Linked DNA regions of Nothobranchius furzeri. The protein of the gene in region 1 interacts with the protein of each later gene in a pairwise test. Links are inferred from orthologs where the notes say so. Each region holds a gene or a part of one and is shown on either strand. Other genes may lie near its edges.

Region 1 (3,873 bases):
TAGCATGGCTGTCACATGTCGAACAAGATTACAAATCCATGTAAAATCTGCACACTGATCTCTGTGTGTTACATGGATGATGCAAGTCTTCAGTGCTGTTGCACATAATCCAACTGTGACAAAAACGTGTAGTTTTCGTGAATGACGTGTCACCTTCCAAAGGATCAACACACTGAGAAAACTGGACAACCCAAAGTCAGCGATGCATCGTGTCTGACGTCATTAATATAAACAAACGCGGAAATAAAAACTCATTTGGTGTTAACTGTAGCTAGGTGGGAGACTTGGATGACACATTTAGAACATTTTGTTCACGGCGTAGCCACAAAACAACTCTTCAGTTAAACATGCATCAAAACGACGTGTTTTATATTTAGACACGTTTACAAAAAAAACTAAAAAAAACACCATTAAACAGTTTAATCGTTAGATATGATGTTATAAAATAAATAAATATTCTACATTGCAGGCCAGCCGAATTTTACGCAAACATTTAAATAATGAAAATGTTCCTACAGCGGTCGCGAATGCCAGTTATTTTGACCCCGAACACTAAAATTAATATTTCCAACTCCAGGTTCGGTTCTCCTTTTTCCAGCGAGCGGGATAGACTGCAGGCGCGTAATGCCAGGTGATAAACAGGGAACGTTATCTTATATTGTGGTTGGATACACATTTATCGATGAATCAAATTAATCTTTAACCCAGGTTATCAGTCAAAACAGATAAACCCCAGACAGACATAAGTGAATGAACTCACGGTCCGGAGAGCAGCCATCTCTTCTACGTAGCGCTGATAAAAACGAGATTATCCGTTCGTGTGGAAACAAACAAACTAAACATTAGTTCCGCCCAGCTGCTGTGGTGCCAGAAAACAGCAAGGCACCTCACATAAATACTCATACCAGGTTTATAAACAATATGTTACTGGTACTTGTTTTTATTTTAACTATTTACACCATATGTATAAGAATGCCAGTGGGTAAAAAGGGGGACAAAGTTAATGAGACTGTCAATTTTTAAGGCTTTATTAATGTTGAATGGTCTTAGCTAGGAAGTTAACAGAGGCGTGCCAAATGCATGGCATCTGATTGGGCTAGAGGCAGAGAGGTTACTGTAGGTCAAATATGTTTAATACTGATTGGTCTAGCATTGGAGGGTGGTGCAGGTCTAGTTACAATTGGCCTGGATGCCAACATAACCCTAACCCATAAACTCAACCAGGCAGATAAAATAAAGGGACACTTAATTTTTTTGCATCACCAACCTCCCTGTTTTATGAGCCATTACTGTTGATTTTAGTATGTAAACAGGTGATTTTTCAGTTTGAAAATAATTTCCAGCTGCTCAAAAGCCACACGATGCTGTAGAGGTCAGAAAGATCAGGACAGGATCTGACTCTTAAAGCCGTAGTTGAGTTCTGCCCCTCCGCTGAGCAGCAGGTCGATCCCGGTGCAGAAAGTGGCATCTGCAGCCAGATACAAGGCAGCAAGTCCACACTCAGCCTCTGTTCCCATACGACCCATCAGCTGTTGGGAGGAGAAAGCACATGTGACTGGTTGTACCAGGCAGTTTCTTCTGCCATCAACAGCTGTTCACACAGCTACTGCTGTTAAACAAGGAAAATTGGTACAAATTTGATATCAAGAAACATTCTGTTCCTCTATTCTGTCTTGTACAGCTGTTTGTTACATTAACACAAGGCAACTTCTGCTGCATCAGCAAAAATCATCTGCTACATGCTCTTGACACAAAAACTGTACCTAATGAAAAGCTTTTGCTACTTTCCTGAGCTAACCTGAGCATTTTCTCCCACTCTGATGGCCTCTGCAGCATCTGGCGTCTGTGCTGCAAGTTCTTCCCAAAGCGGCGTCATCACGTTACCTGGAGAGATGCTGAAACAAATCAGCTGTAAGCCATAATCATCACAGTTATAACAACTAAAGGCTTGAAATGTCTGGCTTTGCATGCACTGAGTCTATATCTCATTTTAGTTTCACCTTTTAAGTTGAATTACTAGCAGAAAAGAATTTTGCACATTAACTTATTTTTTTCTAATTTCACATGTAGTTTGAGAATCACGATTACTGAAACCGTTGCTAATTATTCCTCAAGCAGCAAGGAAATCACAAAAAGCCATAAATCTAAAAATAATGTAAAATTTCACTGTTTGGCTTCTTTAGCAAATAACATTATTACCCTATTGGATATTTAACTGGTGACATCAAAGAGAGGTTTGCCTCACCAGTTCACTCTCACATTGCATCGACTCTCATCCACAGCCATGGCCTTGGTCATGGCGATGATCGCTCCCTTGTGGAGGAAACGTTACATTACAGAGCAGCTCTGCTGGTTTTTAAAATATTCTTCTAGCATCTATTAACTCACTTTAGTGGCAACATAGGGTGCAGCATCTTTCTGACCAATTGTGCCCACAAGACTGGAAACATTAATAATGTTTCCCTGATGCTGGCGCAGGTAGGGTAATGCAATCTGCAGAGAGAGCCAGAGCTTTCACAAACACACACACACACACACACAAGCATGATGGGAAGGTCTTTGCAACAACGCAGGAGTATAAAAACTATATTATTACACAAATGTTACAAATCTAAGCTGTTATTGGGGGTAGGTTTTATTTATAAAATAAAAATGAGAAAAACGTAATTTCACATATGTGTCAAATTCTTTTTCTCATGATTTTTTGTAAGTTTGAGGTTTGAATAAACTTTATTAATAATTCAAGTTCTGGAGATGACACATTCCCTTTATCAAGTTGTAGTTTTGTTATTTTTATGTAATTTTGTTTTCCCAAATTTCATGAATCAGATTTTAAACTCCAATATCATTTCAAGCCTTCTATTTAAAACAAACGTCTCCATTATCAGACAGTTTGACCTTAAATCGTACATTTTTTAAAATGAAATTCCCACAAAGTTTTAGGACGTGACCAAATAAACTATTCACTTGAGATGTTTTGTATTTTTTAACTTTTCCCCCTTTCTCTTGCTCTCAACTCTGATATATTTTCTAAGGAAAAATAAATAATATTTTTACACTATTTTCCTATTCATAGGTAAAAAAAATTCCTGCTAAATTATTTGTTGACGCACGTATAAAACTTTACTTTAGAAGCCAGGAAGTAACTGATGAGGTTGAGATTCAGCAGCTCTCTGAACTCCTCTGCTGTTGTTTCATCGGTGGCTTTGTGAGGAGGGTCTGAGGATGAAGATGATCTAAAAATTAATCTGCAGCTTCATTCTCAAATACGTCTGCAAGAATCAAGAGGGCGACTCACGCCAGCCAGCGTTGTTGACCAGGCAATCAATGTGTCCATAAAGCTGCACAGTGACTGAGATCAACATCTGAAGAGACAAATAAGGACAAACTAATATGAATAACAACTAAAAGTTCACATTAAACAATTTCCTGTTAAACCATGGGGCCCACTGTTGCTGCAGCTCTTAAGGTTGGTTTATGCTTGACGCATCCGCGAGGTCCGTACGGCTCCGTGCGGAAAAGTTGCGTCATTTTGCGTCATTTTAACAACCACGCCCCTCCACACGGCCCAAAATTTCCGCAACGCGCACCTAGGAAATTTTCTAACCACGCAGACGGTCGGACGCAGAAAAACATGGCGGACCGGCAAGAACTAGTATGGCAGAGGTTCGTAAATACAGACATTTGTATGATTCAGCTCTCAGAGATCACCGTGATCAACATGTTGTTAATAATTCTTGGAGAGAAATAGCTCGCACTGTCGGAAAAGACGAGGACGCTGTTAAAAATGCTGGAATGCCGTGTTGTAAACAGTCATTGTTACTTCTACTATGGTGTAGTGTTGGATGCATGCCGTAGAGCTCCATGCTGCCC
Region 2 (4,566 bases), on another chromosome or scaffold:
ATATAACATGTGAAGTATGTTGCGATCCAGGAAATTTTTCACTTTATTTAATATGGAAATACTTCTTACAGTTTTGTTGTGAATGTTTTATATGCAACGTCTGATTTGTAGTCATTTAATTAAGAATTTATACTAGCTAAATAAATATTTAAGTACATGACAAAGGCGAAACTCACTTATTTTTCTTAATTTAAACTAATATACAACATACCGTAAATCCTCTAATACAGGCCCGGGCCTGTATTAGAGGATTTACGGTATGTGTGATTTAGGATGTACGGTAAAGTGGATTAGAAAGTAGCTTTTATAGCCCGTTCACTTGCTTTACTTTACTCTATATTTTACTTAAAATATATTCTGACATTTCTTGTACAACTATGTGTTAGGAAGTTTTATTAACAAACTTTTTTAAAGGTTTCACCTCACGTCAGAGTTAAAACCACCTCCTATAACCATTTAGATTCTATTTCAACACCAAACCCCACAAGTATTTACTTGCTCAGAAAAACACAAGACATCAAGTTCATCACTTTATTTTGTGCTCTCTTCTGCAAATATTAAAGTGAATAATCTCACTTTTGTCTTAAAAGTATTTGTATAAATAACATTTCAACAAATCACAAAAAAAATGCTGCAATTTACATCACAAAGGGAATATTAAGTCATTTTCCAACAATAAATAATAAGTGAATTGAAAGTCTAAGTTCATCTAATGAAGAGAAACAACTATGCAAAGCAATCAGGGTTTGTTTTTAAAAAGAAACACGCGAGTAGGAACTGCTACAACTCTTACACAATCAAAACAATTAGATAACACTGGGACAACCATCTACAAATGTGCGCTCCCGGTAATGGGGAAAACAGATATATGTAAATTTAAGGTGCCTAAACTGCACTGTGCAAAAGGTGTCTACAGTATAGAGCCACCCATCCACAACAATAAGCTGCCAAGACAATATGTCCTGTGTCACATATTAATGCTAAGCCACCAATAACTCCGATTCTTTCATACAGCAACATATTCAAGTTTCAAAGCAAAAACGAAACAGTGTGAGGTTTGAGTTTAGATCAATCTTATGAACTGTGGACGTGAGCGAAAAGCGAGTCCATCATATCCGGCACACACGAAGCTCTGGCCGCGTCTACGGCCGTCTGGCCGCTGGTGTTTGCGTGTTTCAGGTCCGATCGCGGCGCCAGGAACTTCACCACGTCCCGGTGGCCTTCTCGGATGGCGATGTGAATGGGCAGCGCTCCATTGTGGTCGGGAAGGTTCACCGAAGCCCCGTGCTCCACCAGAACCTGCAGGGTGTCGAGGAACCCGGTTCTGGCAGCGTCGTGGATGGGCGCGATGCCGTGCCTGTCCTGGAGGTTGGGGTCAGCTCCTTTTTCCAACAGCAAACTGGCTATTTTGGAGTTCCCCATCATCATCACCTGTGGGACAGAGAAAAACAAGAAGATGATGAGGGCTCATTGGTCACTCGTCACTTCCACATGTCCTCGTCATCATAAAAGCTCAATTTTCTAAAGACATTGGTCCTTTCCATACAGCTCTTAAGAGAACATGCGGATAAGCAAGACTAATTTGTAATTACTGGAACTGAAATTATTTCTAGTTTATTTAGCATGAAAGTAAAACACACTCAATTAATTTATATGAAGCAGAAATAAAAGATTTATAGTGGTCCATGGTTGCCAAATGAAATCACTTTTTATTAATGTCTTAAACTGAAGGCAAGAGCGTGACTGGCTGAAAATGTTTGAGTTTTTTTTTAATCTTGCATGAAAACAGCTTGATCAGACTGCCTAATCCTAGTCTGGTGGGTCACTGCCCTCCCAGTTTCTCTGTTCCAACTTGGTCCGAGTCCTTTGTGACCATCAGACTTACTGAGGAGGTAAATGAACCATTACACTATGTGTGATGGAGCTCGATCAGACCGACAAGTATCACAAGTCGTTTAATTTAAAATTACAGATCTCCTGTAGCATAATCTACTCTTCGACATTAAACCTTCAGAGGGATTATTTCTGAAACGTGAGAACATATTTAGCTCCGTTCTGGCACCCCTGCAGGAATCCCGTGAGGATTGAGAGCCGCTCACCTGCAGCGCGGTCCGGCCGAACTCATTGACAGTGTCGGGATGCACTCTGCATTCCTCCAGGATCCTCTGCACCTCGTCCGTGTTCCCTTTAGCTGCTGCCGCGGTCAGCGCTTTCCCCGCCTCCATCTGACTTAGCACCATGATAGTCTCTGTTCCTGCCTGATGTGAGACACACGGCCAGGTTAGAAAACTAACCACAACCACCGGCGTCTCATCAAAACAAAGAGCCAGGGACACGGCAGTCGGCTACACCTAGCTAACGTTACTACAGCATCCGGCTAACGTACCGCAGCTCCCCGCTGACACCTCCTGTAAACATGCAGTGGTTACACTTGGTCGACTGAACCAAGTTTTCCTAACAACACTGTTCGACTAAACATTCCTCGTCTCGATAGTTTTATTTCACTTTGATCAGATGTTACAAACGAGTAGCATCCTGGCTAAAAGCTAACAGTCCAACAGCTTTCAAACCTACCTTCTTTAGTTCGCCAAGAGCCGACGCGTCACCGAGTTTTAAAGCCTGCTGGTCCTACAGAGCGGTTACGTTTAAAGACGATTCAAAAGTGGAAAGTTTATCAACCTTAAAACTAGACATTTGCGCGCTGAGATCCAAACAGCTATGTGCCCGGTCTACAATTTACAAACATTGGAGAGAGACTACACTGACCAATCACAGCTCGCCTGCTCAACGTCATTCCTTCAAATATGGTCAAAGAGGCGGGGCTGCGCTGCTGTTACTACGCTATCGCTGTAGTAACAGAGGCAGCTGACCAATCAGGACACGAGGCGAAGAAAGCGGGCGATTCGTATACGTTGGCGTCCTCCAAGGGCAGTTCATTCGGATTTTCATCCTGTGGGTTCCCTCAGCAGCGTAAAAAAGGCGGGTGCAGGGTTTTAATTTTGGGCGGAATTTACAGAGTGTGTGTGTGTGTGTGTGTGTGTGTGTGTGTGTGTGTGTGTGTGTGTGTGTGTGTGTGTGTGTGTGTGTGTGTGTGTGTGTGTGTGTGTGTGTGTGTGTGTGTGTGTGTGTTAGAACACATTCTAAAATCTTTAAAACCCTCGAGAACAGGAAGAAAAAAACCACTGATGATTTTTTGCTTCACAGGGCTCATTTTAATTTAAATAAAGTTGATGCATCACAGAATACACACTGAGTTTAATCTGCAAACACATTCCATAAAACCTTTTAAAGCAATAATGTTAAAGCAGGTGATGTTTAAAAGACCTTTCAGTGCAGTAAAGTGATGATTTTGCTCATTTTGACCTTCTGGACACGTGAAAAAAAACAGTAGGAGATCCAGAAGGCTTTACACGTTGGTCCTCAGCTGGTAATCTAAATAAAAATAGAGAAAATGCAAGAGATTAAAGAAGCTATGGTTGCTTTTCTTTTTTGAATATTTTAGAAAAAGTGTAACCCTAATGTACCTCCACTCTGTGTGATATAGCGGACCCATGGTAAAGCCTGATACCCACTTTTCTCTATGATCTTCATGTATCGGACCTAGACAAAAGGAATGACTGAGATGAAGCGTGTTGAAGCAGGAACACAGGCGTGCATCATTAAATCAAATTAGCACGCGTTTCTCCACAGTGAACCACTCAGCATAACAGGACCTGACTTGACTGCATTAGTTTATGAAGTGGGAGGCATGAGAGCAGAACAAGCAGCTTAGAGGTGTGTAGACAAACAACACCACGCCTGAACAAAGTTAAGATCCAGAACAAACACTTCCAGATGCACTAGACTGTAGCGCCTACACACACATACCTGAATTCCTGAGACTGTGAAGTAGGGGATTTCAAATTTGACCGTGATGGGAGGTTTGCCCTCCGCCTCATCGTTCTCCACACTGGGCAACCCAAAGTGGGCTCTCATGAGAAACTCTTTTCCTCCCTGCACAGATGGAGCCACACAGACATAAATAAGTAGGCTACACACAGAGAGGAGGAAAAGTTCCCTTCATTCCATGTAAAAGGCTCTTACTGGAAAAGACTTGATGGTCCACACCACCAGGTTCTTCTCAGGAACATATTTGGCATTGCCTGTGCTGGTTTTGAACTTGGGCGAGTCAGCATCGCTGGGGACAGGGACCCTCACCTCCACATTGTTTGCCACAGACTGTTTTTTAAACTGTCCTTTAGCCTAAAAACACAATGCAGAAGTTTACCTGTGAACATTTTTTGAGAGAGTGGAATGGGAACAGTTTTGTTAACCGTGTTGGTAATGTTCATGCATTTTTGTTTATAAAGAACTCTGAACTAAGCAAAGTAATGTTGTAAATGTTGCATAGAACAGGCCTGCAGGTGAAATCCCAGAGATTTATAGAGGCTGTGTGGAATGTGAAAACCAGTCACTACGCTAACCTGTAACATGTTAGCTAGCACAATTTGAAAACTCAACAGCTCCAACAGTTAAGCTCAGCATTTGCAATGCTTATTCTAAGCACTGGTCGTTTTGATGAATAAA

The links. The genes of interacting proteins can lie anywhere in the genome.
Region 2: the proteins of hsd17b14 (region 1) and cyclin-dependent kinase 4 inhibitor D-like interact in binary tests that used the Homo sapiens proteins (3 or more experiments, as listed by UniProt). The two-hybrid records come from large-scale screens. The link is inferred for Nothobranchius furzeri from reciprocal best matches to the Homo sapiens genes HSD17B14 and CDKN2D.

Annotation. Positions count from the first base shown.
Region 1 is NC_091745.1:6,244,218-6,248,090, reverse strand, and holds the end of hsd17b14 (17-beta-hydroxysteroid dehydrogenase 14), read right to left. Parts: intron 3,366-3,873; coding exon 3,299-3,365; intron 3,220-3,298; coding exon 3,128-3,219; intron 2,512-3,127; coding exon 2,389-2,511; intron 2,314-2,388; coding exon 2,246-2,313; intron 1,896-2,245; coding exon 1,799-1,895; intron 1,530-1,798; coding exon 1,383-1,529; 3' UTR 1,013-1,382; downstream 1-1,012. Other genes in the region: bcat2 (branched-chain-amino-acid aminotransferase, mitochondrial), read right to left, coding at 761-778. UniProt on the Homo sapiens protein: Catalyzes the NAD(+)-dependent oxidation of L-fucose, yielding L-fucono-1,5-lactone, which rapidly converts spontaneously to L-fucone-1,4-lactone. Can also act on D-arabinose and L-galactose, with lower catalytic efficiency. Does not use NADPH.
Region 2 is NC_091747.1:71,357,781-71,362,346, reverse strand, and holds cyclin-dependent kinase 4 inhibitor D-like, read right to left. Parts: upstream 2,714-4,566; 5' UTR 2,575-2,713; intron 2,259-2,574; 5' UTR 2,241-2,258; coding exon 2,100-2,240; intron 1,432-2,099; coding exon 1,075-1,431; 3' UTR 943-1,074; downstream 1-942. Other genes in the region: ap1m2 (AP-1 complex subunit mu-2), read right to left, coding at 3,407-3,432, 3,525-3,600, 3,868-3,993, 4,084-4,242. UniProt on the Homo sapiens protein: Interacts strongly with CDK4 and CDK6 and inhibits them.